Linked DNA regions of Mytilus edulis. The protein of the gene in region 2 interacts with the protein of the main gene of each other region in a pairwise test. Links are inferred from orthologs where the notes say so. Each region holds a gene or a part of one and is shown on either strand. Other genes may lie near its edges. The genes, in order: proteasome subunit beta type-4-like and proteasome subunit beta type-7-like.

Region 1 (11,341 bases), on a different chromosome or scaffold from region 2:
GCATTAAAAACTGTACACCACACATTCAATTGATGAACACTAGTGTAAACATTTGGAACACCATTACACGTTCAAAAAGTGTTACAAAAAAGCGTTCAAGCAGTGTTCTATTTATTAACACTTAGATTTACAGTGTATATATTAGACTCTTTTTTTTTAGTCCTAGAAGATATGGCCTACTATGAAAACATTGACGTTACGCGCGATGTTTGTACATGTAAGCGTAACACAACGTCGCGAATATTTCGTAACGTTCAAACCGAAAATTCGACTGAAACGTTGTTTTTAAGCAAGTGCGACATTCTTGTAAGACTCGGCAAAATTGACGATGCTTTTTAACTACTTATCGAAAATTGATGTATTTTAGTTTTTTGATAATGGAAAAACCCGTTTTTCAAAATATTAAATAGTTTTGACGAAAATCATAGTTTAGTGGTTACAATAAATGAAATATGTTACGCGGGACAACCTAAAAATCGCTGTTTTAAAAAAAATAAGCTTGTCGCATGCAGCATAAAACATAGTTTCAACAATTATTTTTTTCGTTTTTATTTTAAAAATCGTTATTTTTTAAAATACGTACAATAACAATGCATATGATATCACACAATTATATATTTTGGACTTGCGTCTTGCCAACTACATCAAATTTCCAATGAGGTACGATCATCGTGCGTAACGTCATTCCTTTACAGGTGTGAATGGGTTTTTTTACCCGAAGAAAACGTTCATACATCCGAGTTAATGCAGCAAGTTCTTTAATTAGAAAATCATTAGAAAATCAAAAATATTTTTGTTTTGGTAACTATGTGACATTTATAACTGTTAATTTCCATAGATGCAGAGTGCCGACAGATTTGTTGCAAAACGTAACAGTTATTTGACATTGATTGCTTTATCGTTTTCCCCGGAATATTCTGCTGATTGTTGACCTTCAAAAATATCATTTTTGAAAATTCTATTGATACCTAAGCATCTGCAAGATTTATCTATATATATAACACTAGAACACACCCGTGATATCGCGGGTCAGTGACTGTATTAAAGTATTTAGCTATGCGCAAGCCTTATTTTAGTATTAGTATTGTCATCTGATAAAGTCATGCCGATTGTAAGATACACAGTTTTCTCTGCTTTCAAATCTTTCTGTTTGAACCCGTCGAACTGGAACTTATCAATTATTGATAATATTAATTATTTGGAAAACAAAAGGTCCTGGAATGGAGTACTTTTTAATCAACAGCATTGTCCTATATAAGTTATAAATAAAGTTGAATTCTTTGATTGGCTGTTTTACATCATGCCCGATAACAAATTGAAAACTGTACTATACGCCTTATTTTAGTCCAGATTTTTAGTATTCGTATTGTTATCTTAGAAAGTCTAACTGATTAAAATACTACAATAGGTAACAATTTGACAATTAAGTAGTGTCAACCCTGTGATTATGACCCGTGTAATACTATATAGCATATTAATCCTGAATACACCGTTTGGTGGCGCGCCTGGCAAGTGCGGAACGTACAGATAAGGTAATCGGTAACAGGTGAATATACTATTGGTATCGGTATCGGACTCGACCCAGAACTTCTTAATTATTGGCAATATTATTTACGTGGAAAACAAAAGGGCCTGGAGTGGTGTAATTTTTAATCTACACCTTTGTACTATATTAGTTATATATAAAGTTGAATTCTTTGATTCGTCGTTTTTACGTGATGACGGCTGACAAATTGGACCTCGTAATTTTAGTATTATAGATATCTTCTTATGCATTACGGACTGAGTTTTAACACTTTATTTTTATTCTTGCAATAACTTCTCATTTATATTCTTGCAAAAACTTTTCATTTATAATGCACGCCGTATCCCTATGAAATTTTGTTTTGGAAGTAGGAATTTAATTTATAGAAACTCAGGTTGGTGTATGAAAATCCGGGAATTGTAACCCTATTAATGCAAATCCGTTTGAATATGATCACAAAAAACACCAATAGAAAAATAGAAAAAAACAAAATTTATTGGACTGAAAGAATACGGATTGAATAAGGAAAAAGCAAAACACAAGCAGACGTTGAAACTCATGATCATACAAAAATTAGTTTGTCAGCATGGAATGGGAAAAAAAAATGGTTATTGTTTGAATAACTTTCCCTGTATTCCAAGTAAAAACAGTCTCTGAAATTCATTGTTCTGTACAGAAGAAATCCGATATAGAACCGAAATGGTTTCTGGATTTTTTTTGGGTGTTTTTTTTTGTGTGAATAAATGGAGGTATGGGATATACAATAAGATAGCAAAGGCTATACAATTAACGACATCAAAACCATAGACATTTTTCAGTTTCCTAGTACATATTTGTTTAAGTCCTTAAACTTCTAATTGAACTTCTGGAGAAAAATCAAACCATAATGAAATCAGGAGATGTGGTATAGTTGACAATGAAACAATTTTCCACCAAAGACCAACTGACGTACATGATAGCTTGCTAACATTGCTACATTTGATAACACCAGTTTACCATTTCACTACACTGCATATTCACTGATACATGAATTGTCACCACATTCCTTATAAAATAGCACCATCATATTGTTTAACCGTTCGGCAGTCCAATTTGCACTGGGTATATATATAGGTTTCATATATACGGCTTATCTATTAGGACGGCAGTCTTTTAAATAGTATACCTGCTTGCATGCTTGTACTAAAGTTGCGTATATCGTCAGGGTTTTTTTTTTTGGAAATGACAGGTTGCTGGATTTGGCATTATGATACATGATATAAAATAACATGCAGAATACAGACTCCGGCTTACATGTCGTACATGCACAATTTCAAACTGGAATTTTTGCAGGGAGTGTTTTACTTATATAGAGGGTGCATATGTAAGCGTAATTTCATTCCACCGTGTATTTATTCCGGGTATCTGTTTTTCACTAGAGAATATTGGAAGTAAAAAGTGTCACGAGCGTCGATCTTGGTATCGTTGTTTTGTTTATATTGACCGGTTTATTGTTTACATATACATTTATGGGTTGAAATTAGAATATTTTTCAGGGAACCAGTGTAATAGTCCTTCATTACTGAGTAAAAGTATAAATTTTTCGTCAGAAGACAAGTTATAAAATTGATCGTTATGTTTTACTGCTTCATTATACAGTACAGTTCAAGAGTACCAACTCTCCCACACCCTACACCGAGGAAAATGTCGGAGCCACTCCGACAAACTCCGATATTCCTCTCAAAATGTTGGGAGGAATTTGGGAGTAATCTCTCCCAAAATCAGGTAAATGTTTATTGTGATAACGAGCTCACTCTCGACACCGAGGAATTAATTGCCCTTATCCTACTTTGATCTATACCGGCACAAGACTGAATGGGTAATTGGATTACCTGACAGGTAAAGGTTGAAGTTATAAAGAGTTATATTTCCGGTCTACTGTACCAGTTTAAGTGTCAAACCGGTGTATAATTTTAAATGTCTTTTATACTAATTAAATTTCATTTGTGGTAATAAAAACTAAAGTCAAAATATTTTCGTATTTTTTGTTAGCCCATCTAAAAATATCTTAACCTTAATGTACTTGCTTTAAAAAAAAACGATTATAAAATATAGCGGAATATGTGAAAAACAAAATATTCTACTTCAAAGTTAAAGTCTTTATTTAAAAATTATAAGTCTAAAAGTTTTATATATGCAAGTAAAAAGGAAAATTTATTCACCATTCATTAGACAAAATGATTGCCCCGTATTAATTGTGTAAATCTACGGCATTTTCTTTTTACGATTATCTAATTGCTGGAATGAATAAAAGATTTAAAAGCAAAATGTTGTTGTTAATTCTTTCAATTGTATTTAAGTTTTATAAAAAATGAAAACTACTTAATTTTGACCTCGATGTCTTCACCAGTAAATTAATATTTTATTTACGAAATGAGCATACTTGTGTAAAAATAACCGGAAACTTTCGCTAAATTAATCTGAGCAGTTAAATAAAATTACGTGTTTGAAAGTTTTGTATATTCAAGTAAAAAGGAAAAGATTATTCACCATTCGTTATGCTTTTAAAACAATTACGGCATTTTCGTTTTACGATTTGTTGGCAGTACAGCAGAATAATAATACATTTCCGTTACAACAGGAATACTTCCAGCTGCATTAATTCGTCTTTGTTTAATATTAACTTTCGCACAATGAATGTAAATTTGTGTATTTTCAACAAAAGATTTTAAAAACAATTATTTGCCGTGCGAAGACAATTCCACGATACACATCTCAGTTATCAACAGTTTGGGTTGAACTTGACTTACTTAACAATGTTAAATGCTAAAAATAGTTAACATCAATGTTATCCACAGCACGAGTTTATTAAAGGGCGGGAAAAAATATCGCGTACTAGTAAACTCAGGTGACCTTTCTGGCCGACCGTGGGAAAGTCCATTCAAGGTTTCTAAAGTTGCAGAGCGACATTTTTGTGCAATCGTATTGAGGCTCCAGAAGGTCCTTTTACAATTGATTTATCGGGAAAATATAATTCTTATCCGAATAAACGTGAACACATTTTTAACTATTTGAATTTTAATGTTTTATCTTTCAAAAAAGAAAGTACATTAGTTATATGTCCATGGTCAATAATATAGATTTACAGTTGGTGATGTATTAATGGAAATTATGATGGAAATTGTCCGGGGTGACTGATTGTATTCAAATGACAATAATCATGATAATACGATAAAGAAATGCCAATTGTAGGCGGTTGGGAAATTTTGAAAATAAAATGATGACTGATTTAACTGGAATAGAATATTATGATGGGCAATTATGAGGTTTGATAAATTTTATTAATAATTAAAGGATTAGTGACCTATCGGATAGCGATAAGCGGATTACTTATCATCACAACTTTTAACATCTTTTGTAAACGTAAAATGATTGAGCGTCATAAACTTGTCAAACACCGGTAGAATTATAGTACATTTATAATATAATTAATGTGAAAATATTTTTCACTTTCCAAATTCAAATGACGAAATTGATATAAATACTTTCGTCAATTTGAAAACCGTTCCGTAAAATGCGAAAATGACGAACACTATCAATATCACTTGAAATTATTTCCTTTGTCAACAGAGTTGTCATTTAACAGTTTCTGTTCGTAATTTGAATTATTCAAGTCTGTATAAATGTACCGAGGTGGTGAAACATCATATTTTACATTGCTCAATAAATTAAGTTTACTTGATGATCCGATGAATCGGGTTACCGAAAAAAAAACATGATTTTATTAGCCAGTTGATTTTTTAATAATGAACAATTAATGCGCTGATATTGCTTATTGAATAAGTTATAAAAGAAACTAATTGTGGCAAAATCGTCCTTGCTGAAAGAACACAATGTATGACCTGACCGGACTGTAATAGAAACACAAAATAACAATTTTCTTCATACTTTTTCGTATGTACGTTCTATTTTAAAGATAACGGCATAAGACACAAATATAAAAGATAATAATTATCTTATTCTAAATGATATTGTCACATCTTTATCTGTCAAAGAAAGGAAAACATTTGTTCAATTTATAATACCGTGATTTTAAAGCACACCTGTGCAACCAAGATCGATTAAATGTTCAAAGGTAAATTATCTGGGTAATCCAATTATGTTGTCACGCGTCGTTAATTTGAAGTACATCCGATGGGCAATAAACCAATTAACAGCCACGCGGTGTTGGGAGAGAATCTTTGGAGGATTTTAGGAGTGAAATCCGCGGTACTCGGTGTGATTCCGAGAAACACGGAAATCGGAGAAAAAAGTTATCGAATCGATATTTTTGAACAGTACTGTACAATATATTTCGAAGGTCTGCATATAAAGGACATAAAGTAACTACCTGTTTCTCATCTTCAATTTCGTTTTTACACATGAAACAACATCTTTCATTTACTCGCTTTTTCTCATATCGTCCTGTTTCTATTTTAATTGGCGCAACGCCACATCTAAATTTTGCATAAGCACTTCTAAATTTAATAGACATATTTTGTTTTAAATATAACTCTGTACAATATTGTGATTTATATCGCTTATAAGTACGAAGCATGTTACCATTACTCTGTGACAAAATTTTCGTTTGCCATTCTGCAATATATTTATTAAATAAAACATTTTCAATTTGTACGGAACAACTTTCTTTATGCAGCACACTATTAATACTAGTATACAAATCAAAGTTACAATATTTAAGTTTTTTTCATGACTCTATTACACTAGTTTTTCTTATTATTTACAGCATTTTTATGGGACCATTTGAAAACTTTATAATTTATTCTGTCATTGGTCATGGCACTACATCTTGCCCAATGCCTTAAGACACATGTTCATTGTTTTACACTAGGAGGTCTCCATCCCATGTCCCCGTTAATTTCATCATTTGGCGTATACTTACCAACACCTATAAAAAAAACCTGATAGCTCTGTTCTGGACAGCGTTGATACAAGAAAAAGAACGAGTGCCCCAAATGGATGCACCGTAGCTTATTACTGACCAGACCAGAGTATCAAATAATGTTTTAAAGGTACTGTGCTAGAAACCACAATGTGCTTTACATTTAACACTTAATAAACTTAGAGCTCGACTGGCAGACATGGCTACAGCTTTAGCCATAATATTATGATGAGTGGTGGATATTTGGAACTGGATTCGGATTAACCAACCTTTTAAATTCTGTTGATGGATAAAAAGCAATATGTGAATTTGTCGCAAAAATTGACGTTTTCCTATAAAATTACAAGACCAAAAATGGTGATCAAAGTTTTTATGCATACAATGACTTATACTGATGTAACTAGATTCAAAATACAAGTGTGCCAAAAAGTTTAGAAATCGGGAGATATGCCATTCGGTATCGTGTTACGAGTTTAAACGTTGAAAATCTTTATCGATTCATTGAATTCGTTTCGTCTAACGTTATAGCGTAGAAACGTCACGTTCCGTAATATAGCATTACTGATGTAAACAAGATGTCCACAGCTCCGACTGCAAGGGATTTCCTTTTGTTAAGATGAGTTTCTATATAGTGTACAAGCATTTCAGGTATGTAACTTGTTTATTTTATCAAGTTTTACCATTTGTGATACATTTTTCGTACTTGAGCGCTCGGGCATTGTCTCTATCGTCCCCGGGTAATCTACCCGGGAGCTTGCACCATTGAAGGTAATGGAGGGCGAGCTGGACTCAGTGACAACAAAAAAAAAAAAAAAAAAAAAAAAATGAGTCACTGAGGCCAGGGCTGGACTAGTCTAAAGGAGCCTGTAATTCAATGGTTTTCGTTTGTTACACATTTGTTTTTTGTTCATTATTTTGTACATTAAACAGAATGGAGCCAAGAAAGAAATGATCTGTCAAATGTATCGGTCATGCATGGTTTTGAACTGACTGGTAGACTAATTTCAACATTACTACCAACAATGACATTAATGTTTCAAAATAAAGAGAAAAAAGGGGGGATTTGTAACACGGCTTCGTCTTTCTATGTGTACTTGTTTATTGTGATATGCCTTACAGTGTACGTTTAGCTGCACCAATCTGTGATTGATTTTGCATTGCAGTCTGTCCTGGGCCTGGGAAATTGTAAACGGAACCAGGAGATGGTCCATTTCTCCAAAATTCTGTAGACATCATACTCTCCGAAGTCATCTTTTACCGGAAGTGGATACCGACTGCATTACTCTCTAAATTTATCAAATCAAAAGTTAGTAAATGAAGTGAATTTTGCAATGCAAAATACGACAAAATATTAATGTAAAGTTAAAAAACCTCTATACACCTAAAGTTTCATTCAGAATAATAAGGAATATGCTTAAAGACTAAGTCATTCTAAGGGAGGTAACTAAAAGTGACAAAGTGTTTTACATCGGTCAGGACATTAGTCACGGGAGTACGTAGTTGGTCAGGTCAAGTTTTCTAACTCTTGAAAATATTTTTTTTCTTATTTTTTCTTATATTTTTGTATTAAATGTATAAATCTTCCTTGGTATCGAATTTGAAGTCTATCCTGTCAATAATAAAACATTTTTTAGCCGTTTCATATCGGTCAGGACATTAGTAGTTTCAAAGTCAAGTTGGTCAGGTCAAGTTTTCTAACTCTTAAAAATATTTTTTATTTTTTTTTAAATTCTATTTATTAAATATAAGTTCTCATCTTGCTTGATTCCAAATTTCAAGTAAATCCTTCCAATAATAAAAAAGTATTAAGCATTTTCATTTCTGTCAGGACATTGTCAGGTCATTGTCAGGACATTAGTGTAACCCACAAAGTGAAAGTAGGAGGAGCGAACAAAACAAAAAATGTTGCGAAAAACGAATAGCTACTGATTTTATTTTATATAACACAAAAATAGTCTGGACATCTTGTAACATAAGCTTGAATGTAAATAATTTGAAGCATCTGTATCTCGTTAAATGGGGATTCCCAATGGGCAAGGGAAAAAACATAGGCATTGAGCCACAGGCACTTGTTTCTATCACAGGCACTTGTTTCTATCCATAGGAAGGTCGACTATCCATATAAATAGATATATTATGGATAGATTAAATGGATAGTCGACCTTCCTATGGATAGAAACAAGTGCCTGTGGCCTGTGCATTGAGCTTCCAAATTAATTTTTATGGGGACTAGGATGGAAAATGTTGAACTGCATTTTTTAGTTGTAAATCTCTGTCCTGCCTTTTTATGAGGGTAATAATTCCCTTCAACGCCTTGCTTCATATGGTAATTTAGCTCACCATTAATGTCAAATTGGTTTAAATTTTTTCTGCAATACCATTGAATACTGAGATTCGAAGGCGTCCCAGAAAAAAAAATATAGCCTTGTCGTCAACATATCGTTATTGTGATTCCTCGGAGGTCTCAAATAGTTATCGTAATGGTTATTTTTTGAAAAAAATTAATTAGTAATTACAATGATTTGTCAAAACATTTCAATTTTATTTTATCATCATGCCTCAAAAATTACTGTTAATATCATTTGGCAAAAATTTTAACTTTAATCATCATAAAAGTACTTCAATTACGACCATTTTTTATTTTTCACCCTTTTTCGATCTTGGATTTTTTTTTAATAGTTTATTAGGTGTGGAAAGACCTTTTGTTTTTCTTCTGATTAATTTTTTTTTTTTTTTTTTTTTTTCCTTCTACCATCTGAGGTGCTTTTTCGTCTTACAACATATCGAATAGATTTTTGGCCAATGATGTTGTACAGTAATGGGGTTTCAAAACTCACCCTGTGTGACCAAACACTTATTCTTATAGAAGTTATCTCCCCGCGTCCCCTTTTTCTTGTTATCGCTATATCTCTAAAACCGTAAAAGATTTTAGCAAACTGTTTTCACCAATTTGTTCGTCTATTCTTAAGAATGATTTGGTTTATTTTGACTTGAGTGATCGGAAGACATCTTACGGGAGTTATTTCCCTTGAAAAATTTAAGATGCGATTTGTTGGATAAATTCATATGTTATTAGTCGTAGAGGCCTACAGTCTACTGATATGAAGTCCTTGGTCCATTGAAGGAAATTGAGGTTTAGGTCAAAGGTCAAGGTCATGTAATAAATTTTGAATATTGCTTGTTATCGATATTCCAAAGAAACTGTGACAGTAAATGACATGATGTGTTTGCCAAATAACTGTTTACAAAAAGGTGCAACTTCAACCTATTTAAGTCGAAGAGTTTTGGTTAACCCTTATAGGAGTTTTCTCCCCTTTTGTATTTGAAATAAGTATTTCTTCACAACCATACAAGTGATTGACCATGGGTCTTTTGATTTGAGATCACTGACCTGTGACCTCAAAATTGAGGTCAAGGTCAAAGGTCAATTTGACGTTCTAGATTTTGACCTTTGCTAAAAATTCTTTCTGGTTCATTATAAAACAATTAAGTTTTCTGCATAAACCTATTAATTTTTTTTTTTTATTTGTATCAGTTTTATTTACCACATTACATCAACATGGACAAAAATGATGGAGTGACATTTTCTTACATCGTTTTTTAAATTTCATTCTTATTATCGAGGTGGAATTGTTCTCTGAAGAGTTGGTTTTTATATCTTACTTTTCTTACTGAAATTGTCATCTTGCTAAATTTTTTAGGCCAAATTGCTCATCCTGCTTTTTTTTTTTAACTCAAAACTTCTGTCTTATTTTTATTATTTTCATCCTAGCGCTATTCCCCTTAAAAATCAAATGGAAGCTCCCTAACTTGGCCAGTTGTTATAAAAAAAAATCCTTTTTTCTTAAACAAAGGAATTGTATCATTTGTGTATATATCATTGTTATAGTGAGCCAAATCCTTGCTGAAACAATTATTAATGTACATGTAAATGTATTATTTTAAAATATTGTATACAATGATACATGCTTGTCTTAATCTAAAACCTACCAGAACATAATGGCTTGTGGTAGAGAAAATGCTTCTGCAGCATCAAATATATACCTATTGACTGTGCTGTCAAACATACCTGCTTAGCACAAATTGTCTCGCATTTGCTGGGTTACTCCTTCATGCTTCAAATTCTTCTCTTATTATCTCTGTGTGAGTGTGTTTGAATGGTATGCACTGGTTAAGATTAGGAATGAGGAAATGCAGTATCCAAACTGTCAGCTCTGTCATATTATTTGCCACTGTTTGAAGTTACACTAAGTCACTTCCATGTTGCCTAATCTGATTAATTTGGTTGATAAATAAAGTATTGTTAAACTGTCCTCATTTGATATTTGATTGAACAGGGGCTAAAAAATCCACTAGCCCGACGCCCGGGACTAGATCAGTTACGCCTCGGGCAATTAAAATGTGTAATCCGATATGCCCGACGGACTAGTAACAAAAAATTCTTGACGTTTCCAAAATAGAAAGTGAAAAATCCGTTCATCACTATTCTATGTTAGCCATTTCGATTCAATTAAGTCATCCGGGATTCCAAGAATTTGAACTGGTTTGTACAGGTCCTGTTGTACATATTTTAAACATAGAACAAATAACTCTGGCATGTCTGGGTGGCCTGGTATCATGTGTTGATTCTCGTACTTTAAATATCGATTTCTCATACCATGGATTGAGGTATTGTACATTGCGTATCGTGCCGAGATTTTCAATTAACGTTATTTGGGGGTATGATGTATTGATTGGTATTGACATGTCTTGTTGCACAGCTCTTGAGCACGAAACTATGCAACAAAATATTTCTTAATATTTTAGTACGGGAACCCCAGGAACTTTTGTCAGTTTCAAAACGAAACACGGTAGATGAATGGAGTAACGAGGCTGAAAATTCATCCCCCCAAAAT
Region 2 (11,341 bases):
CTTTTCCTTAAGTCTGTTTGCATGATTCTAGTCATATATTAAATCGGTAGAAAAAATATACATGAAGCTAGCAGACCAGGGTTTATTTTCCAGATTAAGAATATTAGATGCTTGTTGAAATTTCCAATTTTGAATTATGCACAAAGATGGACCTTTAACAGGTTGGGAACAACACTCCAAATGAGGGTAACCTAACTGGAAGATCATCACAACCCACTGTAAAAAATGAACACAAAATAGAATTTTTCAATAAAATGCTGAAAATAGGCTTTAAAGTATTAAAATGCATTGCAAAAAACAAATATTTCATTAAATAAATTTAAGTAGAATATTCCTATGATATTCCTTTTCATATTGGATACAAATTTTATTGAGTCTACTGCAGACACTTTGTAGTCAAAGTGTTTCAACTGAGGTACTACACAGGCGTCATTATGGAGTAAAGGGGGTGGCGTCAAAAAGCGTCATTATGGAGGAAAGGGTTAAGTACTGAATGGTCAAAACATCATGTTTTTTTATCGACATAAATTTTGTCATAAATGTAACCAAATGATGTAGAAATTGTGTTTTTTCTTCAAATTTCCATCAAATTGTAATGTTTATAGTTCCATTATTGCCTCTCTATTTGAATAAAATAAAATAATAAGAAGAATCTGTTTCTTGTTTTGTTTTGTTTTGGACAAATGATTGTTCACTGCTAGCAAATGAATCATTATATTTATATATCTTATCTGTATATATTTTTGTTCATGTCTTCATCTCCTTATCATTTGTAAATGTATAGACAAATAAGAAAGAAATAAGCTCCACATGTATATTTGCAACATCGTAAATTAATTAAAAACAACATTCTGTTGTAAACAAAATTATGATATAAACTTCAATTTAATCCTTGAAAGGAGGTCTAGATTGCTAAAATAATTTATAAATTTTAATTTTTTTATTTGTCCAAAATCATTTAAATTCATTTAATCAACATCCTTTTATGATTATTTGATTAAAATATTAATCATTTATAGTCTTTTTACAATTTACATTTTTAAAAGCAAAATAACTGAAAACAGGATAAAACAAAGGGAAGTAACAAAAAAGTATTTCAATATTCCCAATACACATCGTTTTGATAACACAACGGCAGTTAGCCGGAGGTAAACATCGTTGATTACCAGTATGTTTGACACCCAAGCTGTCAATTGAAGCCATATAATTATACATCTTCTTTGATGTTCAGGTAAAATTTAACACAGGTGTCAATTACACCCGTACAGTAGTAAGAAATGATCAAATATGGCGTCTGAAAAATTTCATACACGGGAGTTTTTTCTCCTAAACGGGAGGTTCACATGTATGTTACGAAGGGCATCTAATTCACATGACAAAGGAAAACCATGAATAAAGACAACACTTTATATATCCTTTTTATTTATATAAAAACAAAATCTTCTTGTCTGCAGGATTGCAAATTCGTAACTTCAAGGGCGAACTTGTAAACAGGGCGAGTTGTCCCGATACCAAATTCACGCATGCGTAATACAAATATCTACAGTTAAAACATCCTGTTACAAGTAAACAAATAACGTTCATGTGGATGAGATGAAATCTAATAATTTACATAAATAAAAGGGTCATATTTACGATAGTGATTGTTTTACAATCATAATTTACAAATTAAATGATTCAGATGCCTAATCATGTGTAAAAATCGGTGTCAGGAATCTAAGTTGTTTTGAAATTGTAATACACGAAATGAATGCGGCATACGGAGACTCAATGTCAATGGTCAGCCCCTTAAGTCTTCAGAAGACTTGACGTCTTCTTCCACTAAAAATTATCATTAATGAGTACCACTTGCAATGACTTGTACAGGTTATTTTTATTTACTTGAAGAAGTGAATATTTACATTGTATATACTTATACATTGTACAAGTAAATTTGTAAGATACTTACATGTATACATATGATACAAATGTAATCTATTTACTTGCATATGTATATTATCTTAATGGCTTATCTATGTCCCTTAATATTATACACATTCAGTTTTTTCTTCTAAAGTAAAATAGTTCTACTGTCCTTGGCTATATAAATAGCAAAACAGTCACTATAAATATATGATCACGATGAACGGATGGTTATTTAATGTCCAGTTATTGCTTTCTCCATGAGGGAATAAATAATAATCAGTCAGAGCTCAGACATAAACAAGTCTATTTCTGTTTTTGACTTAAAGAAGTTAAAACATGTATTCTTTATAAAAATGTGTTTTCAATTTTAGACTTATCTAAGTCACAAAATGACAGACTTGTTTAGGTCTATTTATGTTGATGAAAAAACTTAACTTGACTTGGTGGCCAAACTACACCACCTTTGACAGTAAAAACCTGTCTGAGAGTTCACAAGGACTTGATCTATCTATATTTAATTATCTAATTGAACATCCTTACTAAACACAGATGTTTTACCTCATTAAGTGTGGATCCAGGTGGTTGCATTGTAAGGTTAATTAACATGATCCCCGATTTTTCAGACTCTCATTCATATTTTTCTTTAGAAGATCTAGACAAGGCATTGGCTTTCAATGTTGTCATTATTTGATTTAGATGCATGACCTTTTTATAAGTATGCTTGGGTCTTGAAGTTGACCAATTTTGGTAACTTATCGACTTGTAGGAGTTGATATTTGCAACTGTTTGATTCTGGTCAATCATTTCTTGCTTAACAATATTTGACTTATTTAAGTCGTATTTTGTCTTGCATTAAAGGGAGACAAATCCTAAAACTTACAAATTTAGACATCTATAAGTCAAAAGCAGATTCAGACTTATTTATGTCTGAGCTCTGACTGATAATGGGTGACATTTCTCTATTAGTTAGAATGTGTCAGTTTTCAGATAATTTAATAAACTAAGTCTGAGGTGCTTTTTCTACCTCTTCTTTTTAGGCCAGAATTTTTTAATTTGTTGGTTTACGGATTCGCCGACTCGATTTTGCCGATTTCCAGAATAAAAATAAAATTCACTTTTCATGCTTTTTTATTCCCGCCAACCCTAACAAATGCATTATCCCTGAAAAATAATTAAAATATTCTTTTATTTATGAAATGAAATGCATTTATCACTATCAAAATTGATAACACTTTCTGTAGTGTAAAAAATAAAACTTCCAGTTTACGTTTCTAAAAATAGACAAATCAATTATAACATGTATAACTGACCTTGAAAAATCAGAAATGTCGTTTGCGCAAATAAGTTTGCGAAACGTAACCTTTAAAACCAATTACAAAATAAGTTGTTTCCCGTATTTGTCATCAGTCCGTAAGATGCATCATCTGATAGAAATAGACTTGTCCAAATGTGGACAGGTGGAAGACGTCAAGTTAAAGAACTGAATATTAAATAATCATTTGGAATTATCTTGTTTCATAAATCTATAATAAAAAATATCGTTCATTTGGATAAAAACCACAGTGTAGATACTATTCTGTACGCTATCCGGAAGTCGCGATTTTCGAAGCGATGATTTCCAACTGGCTAACAGGACGGTTTTGCCTATGGTAACTTTTCTCATCATTTGTTTACTCCTATATCTACAAAGTGCTTTGAACATCTACAAGGTGTATATAGCATCATAAATTTGAGTAACTGTAACAAAAACATACATTAGAATATAAAATATACGTGTGCATCACATCAACTTGGTAGAAAAAAGTGAAATCGATGGACAATTTTGCTCTCGTAGTACAAAGCAAATAATCTTTTATTGCAAATATTTGCATCAGTTTACAGTTTATATACTGTTTCAATATTCTTTTTGTATTTAAGTAGAATATTCGTATTTCCCATAAAAAAATAGTTTTCCTTGAGGATCCTAAAATAAATTACTGTACGATCAGTCTATAACTGACTGTATTCTAGAAGCGATTTCAGATTTTTTGACTGTATGACCAGTCGTGATTTTGAAGAAAAAACAACAGCAATTTGAAGGTATATACGTGTATATATGTGATATTATGAACTATCCCGGGAACTATAACATAAGTAATACATGATTCGCTTGTGGACTTTGTAATAGTGTATCGTTGCAGTTATCTGTTTAGCTATTATATTTTTAAAGATTATTTACACCGTCCGCCGTTGAACAATTGATGATAACATAAATCAAGATTGTCTCTTTTAAAATAACAAAAAATGGATAAAGACAGCTTTGCGTAGGGGGATAATTCATGTGATATAATTTTGGTAAGTTTACAGAAATAGAAGGTCCATAATGCATTAATCGAGTAAAAATGGAGCAATTTCAGAAAAGTTTAATGATTGGTTTAGGAGGTGTTGGAAATACCTGATGGGTGTCCCCATATAATGCAATGTTCAAGTCCGTATCTTATATAAAGTAACCCCATACAAGATTTTTACTAAAATTTGAAATAGACGGTTCACAATACAGTCATTATCATTTATGATAACATAAATGGAATCCCCTTTTCTCCTGGATTGGATCCCCTCTCCATTTAAAAATGGCCGGAACCCCCAATGTATATTAAGTTATTTATGAGAAGATGCGCTTACCAAACTGGCGAAACATATTGTACCGGTCCAACGGACGAACGGAAAGACGGAATTCTTTATCACTATAACCCCCCGCTTGACAAAGTGGTGGACAATTGAGTGTCAAAGAGACAGCTCTACATCTGTGATCAATTATTGGCTACAGTACGGCCTCGAATGTGTGTAAATACATGCATTTTTATATAACAACTAAATCTGTGTGTTTGTACAATTTTAAGAATAACGGAGGACATTTCTGAAACTTATATACTAGTATACATCAAACCTTTCTCTTATTTTAGCAACATTTAAACATCCTTATTCTTAATGTAGTAAGTCGAGTACACCCTATAAAGCTAAAACATGTTTCATAAGTTTTCAGGATGTGAATTCATTGAAATATATTTGTGTTATTTAGAAAAATGCCACCTTCTAATGTATCGTAAATAACTTTGAAATCACCACTAGAATACAGTGACATAAAGACTGATCATACAGTTTTAAATATACAAGCGAGACTGATCGTACAGTGAGAAATTCAAACAAGTGTAATTTTCTTATTTCTGGCTTCAAAGATCTGGTTGAAACTTTTACCACCACTTGAAATATACTTCATTTAGTTAATTAAGTCAGGTTTTTATGTTGATTTGTACACTAAGAGGGTAAAAAGATTGTGTTTAGGTTCGCCGACTGATTTTTCTTAGTGATGCACTTGAAAATCTCTTGATTAAGGCAAAGATACGAATAATGATTGTGCGGAATTTAATTCTTAACCATTTGAAAATATCGATGCCAGCTGAATTAATCATTAAGCAATGTACAGATGATCAACTTACCGTTTAATTCAGTATACCTATCAAATTTAAAATGTGATCCAAAAAGTTCTCGCTTCGAAAATCGCGACTTCCGGATAGCGTACAGAATAGTATCTACACTGTGAAAACAGTAATGCATGACACAGATTAACCCGATATCCTCGTTTTTTCCAGTGGACGAGTCTATTACGTTTGTTGACACGTGTGTTGAAACTTACTTTCATACTCGTGACGTTTTTACATTTTTTTTTCTTTATCAGTTTTTGTGCTTGAAGATCATAATTCGCCAAGTTTTCTGAAATTAATTTTCTTTGTACGTGCACCCCCCCCCCCCCCCCCTTTTGTTTACGGGAAATTATTAGAATGTCATGCGATGTTTATGACAGCTGATTTCATCGAACTAAAATCTAAGAAATGATGATAAAATAGCATCACAAACATATTGTTAGAAAGATAAAATATATATTTGTTTTCCATATTTTTCTGTCTTGAAAGATATTTTTTTTTCTTTTTTTTCCGACCGACCGACTCGACTTTTTCATGGGTAAAATCCGTAAACCAACAAATTAAAAAACCCTGGCCTTAGTGTTATAAAAAGAAAATTTTTATGAAATAGTGCATTTTTGTTTTAAATAAAGAGCTACAAATTTTAGCAATGGACAAATGTTTAATGAATCAAACAAGGACTCAGTTACCCATGTTAGATCTGCCATTTGTAACTTCTCAACCCTTATCGCTTCATTTATATTTACATTAAAGTACATGTAATTGAGCAAAAATCTCCAGAGTAATTACAATGGTTTATTTAAAAGTGCTCTATTTTAAGAACAAAAAGTAGATTTCTTTAAAATACAAAAATAGAAATTTATAAATCACACAAAAATAATTCATCATTCAAGATAAATAACGAATGTAACAGCAACTTAAAGGGTTGTGAAATGCAGAATGCATAGTTTTAATAAATAACATGAATAATTGGGTTCTACTTTGAATGAATTGGGTTTTTAAACACTCAGTAAAATATTAATTGAATTGGGTTTTCTATTGTATTAATACACCTTATCGCTATTTGTCAGCCATTACTGGACATCACAAAGGTTCCTTTAAATATTGACGTCATAATACAAAACATCTGACGCCACAATGTAAAAGTGATAATCACAAAAAAGGTAGGACATTGAAACTATGTAAAAAATTCTTGTCAAAATTATGTCTCAAAGTTACCCCCAAAATTTGCTCTTAAAGTCCAGACGTGAAAAATGGCTTCAGCCTTATGAAGTCGTAGGACGGCATCACAGAAAAATAATAAAATAGCTTTGCCAGACATTAAAATTATAAATTATTTGGACAATAAAAAAAAAATAAGAGTCTATTGTCTGTAATTTTGAAGACCAACAGCTCCCACCACAAAATACATATACAATGCTGAAGAAATCATCACATTTGAAAACCCTCTGAGCTTTTTTCTTGTAGATCAAAATGAAAATTCGTTAAATTTGTCATTTTTGTATACAAATAAATATTTTTTTCACACAAAGTTGCATAGTCATTGCTTGTCGTTTTCAAATGAGAAGATAATCGTTTCCAGGGTACTGAAAGAAGGGAAATTTATATTTAAAGATAATGCTGAAAAGGCGTCATTTGAACATTCATCATTATTATATCTAAAAATAGTTAAACCTCTGGCAATTATCGAAATTAAAACCACCGGTTGGTAACTCTGTGAGGGCAGCCATCATTCAATATTGTATCTGGTACCTTGGAGAGTTGAGTCTCACGAATCATAGTAATCATTGACCGGCAACCAGATGAAATATTCGCTCGGAACTCTTCTTGCATTATTGATAACAACTACATTTTGCGGGAGATTTCTTATTTTTCTTTAACCAAGAACTTGAAGAAGAAAGAAGATCAAGAAAGTAATGCAGAATAATTATGCAACACTAAATAATTTGATTTTTTAATTTTGTTTGTACAAATATGCTTGTTTGTTTGGTGAACTCTTCCTGCATTAGCTATCAAAAACTACAGTTCCAGTGGAAATTATCTGCTGACTATGTCATGGTACAGTTTACATGTCATATATATATATAAATTACACGTGTCTTATGTCTATCTCTAGATTCGCCTTCTGTGAAAAGATAACACTACGACTATTGAAGTTATATTTTTATACAGCGGATTTGGTCGAGTGGTCTAGAGCACTGGACATGAGGCTAAGCAATTGGTGCTGTAGTGTATTAAAGGTGTAAGTTAAAATCCTGTTGAGGGACAGACAAAAATTTATCAGCAGAAAACCTAACTCTAACACTGTTTGGTGTTATTTTCAGACTATGTATTTTTCATTTCCGTTCTCTGACTTAAGTTTGCCTCAACCAAATGCAATCAAACTTACATATATAGAATAGAAAAGAATAGAATATTTTTATTTCCCAAATTACAGGGCCCATAAAGGGCATAAAATCAGATACAATTGATTTACATAATTGGTAACAACAACAATAGTGGCATATACATATATATTTGGAATATAAGCGTTGGTCAGAATCAAGCTAAAAACCACACACATTGTATATATTGTGAATAAAAGAATAATAAAATTACATTATACATGTATATGTATTAATTCTCAAATTATTTACTTGACTTAGTGTCAGTGTTCATACCTGATCTCCTTAATTCAAAACAGTCACAAATATAACAGCCCAGTTTTTCCATAAGAGTAACATTTTCTTGGGTCAAGAGCCATACAACATGTACAAATTTAGAAGATTGATTTAAATTTGTAAAATTACAACAATTGTTAGAAATGTCTTTAAAAAAATCGTCCCTTTGAATATCATAAAGAGGGCATTCTAATAAGAAATGAAGCTCATCTTCAACTTTACTAAGTATATATGTATACACAATGCTAATAAAACAACAAAATAAAGATCAAGTTTGAATTTGGGGGGGGGGCCTCACTTTAACCATTCTAGAGTAATGCTCCTTCACAAACATGACAAATGGAAAAATTGCTGAATTTTGTGTTTCCCTCAACCAAATGTTATGAAAATTTTACACTATGCTTCTTACCACAAAAGTTGTCACTAAAATTTTTAGAGTTATGCCCCTTTATGAATGGAAAAATTGCTGAATGTTTTGTATCTGTTCTCTTACATGTCTAAATTAAGTTTGCATAAACCAAATTTTATGAAACTTTTGCACAATTCTTACATGTCTTATTACCACAAAACTCAGATTAACATGATTTAGTTCAAATTTTGGTAGAGTCACTTTTTCTGTTCTTCAGCATGTTCAGTAATGTCCCTTTATAATGATATGCAAGCAGGGGCATCTTCTGGGTCCCATGAACACATTCCCCATTTATCATGTTTATAATTTTATGCTATAGAAAAGGTGTTGTATATATTTTCATTTATTTTCATTTTTATAACTTTGAAAAATAACTTTATGATTTTAACCATGTTTACAAGTTTTACTTTTAGCCATGATTATCAGGGGCGGATCCAGCCATTTTAAAAAGGGGGGGTTCCTAACCCAGGACAAAGGGGGGGGTTCCAACTATATGTCCCCATTCAAATGCATTGATCGTCCAAAAAAAAAGGGGGGGTTCCAACCCCCGGAACCCCCCTCTGGATCCGCGCCTGATTATGATCATGATGATAAAGTTTTTATCATGTTTATCAGACTTGTAAAATTTTAAGAGATGATTTATCAAACATGTATGTATTTCATCTTATTCCATTAATATTTGTTTCTTTAGTTTTCTTTTACATTAAAAAAAATAATGATAATGACTAATATTGATTTCTTCTTTTATTTTTGGGATGGGATTGCTTTTAAGCAATCTGTAGACTTATACCATTGACTCAGGCCCATGCCCTCACCGTTATGAAACTGATATTTGATATTGTACTTCCATAAAGAAATCATGGAAATGGAGGTCGTTTTATTAACATTTTATATATGTCCTTGCTACAAATCACAAGTCTAGTTTGTTTAGGTAATTATGCGCATGCATATAGTTTTCTTGACTTGAAAGGGTATCAGATTGAATGGTTGCTCTAGATTCCCAACTCACGAGATCCTTTCTATGTCTGTCTGCTATTGAGGGTTATTGTTGTTGCATAATTTTAAATCTTATGCATCATTGAAATTAAAAGAAATGTAGTCCACAACGTAAAGATGTTATAAGAACACACCTTCAGCCAAAATGGAGTCTTCCATATTATCGCTTCGTGTTGTCTCCCTCAACTAGTCTCCCTAGCTTCTGTAAGTATCTGTCAACGACAATACGTCAAGAAAAAAAATCTTTCTGTTGATAGACGTTGTATTATATTAAAACCAATCGCAATTTAAACAGAGGAATGCCCACTGACCCAAAGGAAATTAAATATTAAAAGAGTTAGGAATGGGGTTCAACCTAGAATTCACATAGGAAAATAGGTGATAAGTACTGCGATGTTGTGTCATGTGTATTATTGTTTGTCTGTTTGTCTTTTTCATTTTTAGCCATGGCGTTGTCAGTTTATTTTCCATTTATGAGTTTCTGGTATCTTTCGTCCCTCTTTTACACGTGCAGTTGAATTATTTTTGAAATAATAAATACATGTGTCAATGAAAACAATGACAATAGTATTCCTCAGAGCAATCTGCCCTTTGATTATCTTTTAAGATACAATTTTGTAAATTTATTAATCTGACCCTGGGATGTTACTTTTATACAATGCAAATTACAGATTCAGAAATAGTAAACCAGATGATCATGATCAAAGGAAAAGATAAACTAGAAATGATTTTTATGCAGTTAAGCTGCATTATGCGAGCACCCTAGATTTGTGTTCTACCCAATAAATGGTGAAATACTTTCCATTGTTATTATCTAGCTCGCTACTATGTTATATATAACTAATTGAACACTTTTTTAATACTTTTTATTCTGGATTACAAAAAATATGACCAGAAAAACCTTAAATGATCGTCGATTTATCCAAAAGTTTTGAAGTTACACGTAGGAAGTAGTGCTTATTAAGAATCCTTGTGTAGTTCATTATGACTTGTGCTTTTAGCTAAGATGTCAAAGAACAATTGTATGAAATATTTAATCGCCGAAAATCTCTTAAGACAAGTAGTTTAGATTTCCCAAATGGCAAAAGTCGTAGGGATATTGTTTGTCATCAATACGTAGTACAATTACGTCAGTAGTTGGCGGCAATTTCAAATTAGAAAAAGAAATTTTCGTAGCTTTTCAATTTGGAGGCAGGTGTGCAAATTAGCGGTGGTCCGAGGTCCGCGACCTTCCACTTTTGCAAGCGGAATTTCGACTAGGATAGTTGGTTTCTAGCATCGCCCGACGCTTACCTTCCACTTGAAAGAAAATAAGAAATTACTTTGCAAACCCTCCATGCAAGTCACCAAAGTCTCCAATTAAACGAGCTAAAAACTTATTTTTATCATTATTATTCATGACAGCGATGTTCATTTTGTTCAACCGCTAGCTTTATACAGAAATTCGCCGACAAATATTGTATAAATTCGAGTAAAATCGTATCTGATTGACAAAAACAACATTGTAAACACAACAATGGCGACCGTGAAGACAAAATTTTACAATATAGGATCCGATTCCGGAAGCGGATAAGGAAAATTCCGGGTTTGGCGATCATTCAAAGCAGGTGAAAAAATAAATCTATGCATGGTATTTAAATGAATATAGACACTAGAATTGTAAACCAAAAGATATATGTAAAAGAAAGAAAAAGCAGAAAAATATTTTATACAGAAACTCAAAATTACTTTTTGACAAATTTTAATTTAAAAATCCAATACAATGTGACAGCTGGGAACAGTATATCTAACAATATACATGTTCATGGTCACAGTCTAAAATTTTCTTTATCAGTGATAAATGATGATAATGCATGTGAGATGCTTTTAAAGTGTAAACATATTACTGCAATTTCGAAGGGTTATTTTTT

Evidence for each region.
Region 1: the proteins of proteasome subunit beta type-7-like (region 2) and proteasome subunit beta type-4-like interact in a two-hybrid assay, tested with the Caenorhabditis elegans proteins (2 studies listed by BioGRID). The link is inferred for Mytilus edulis from reciprocal best matches to the Caenorhabditis elegans genes pbs-2 and pbs-7.

What each region holds. Positions count from the first base shown.
Region 1 is NC_092354.1:64,493,455-64,504,795, forward strand, and holds the start of proteasome subunit beta type-4-like, read right to left. Parts: upstream 7,728-11,341; 5' UTR 7,698-7,727; coding exon 7,564-7,697; intron 1-7,563.
Region 2 is NC_092345.1:65,568,187-65,579,527, reverse strand, and holds the start of proteasome subunit beta type-7-like, read right to left. Parts: upstream 7,151-11,341; 5' UTR 7,100-7,150; coding exon 7,041-7,099; intron 1-7,040.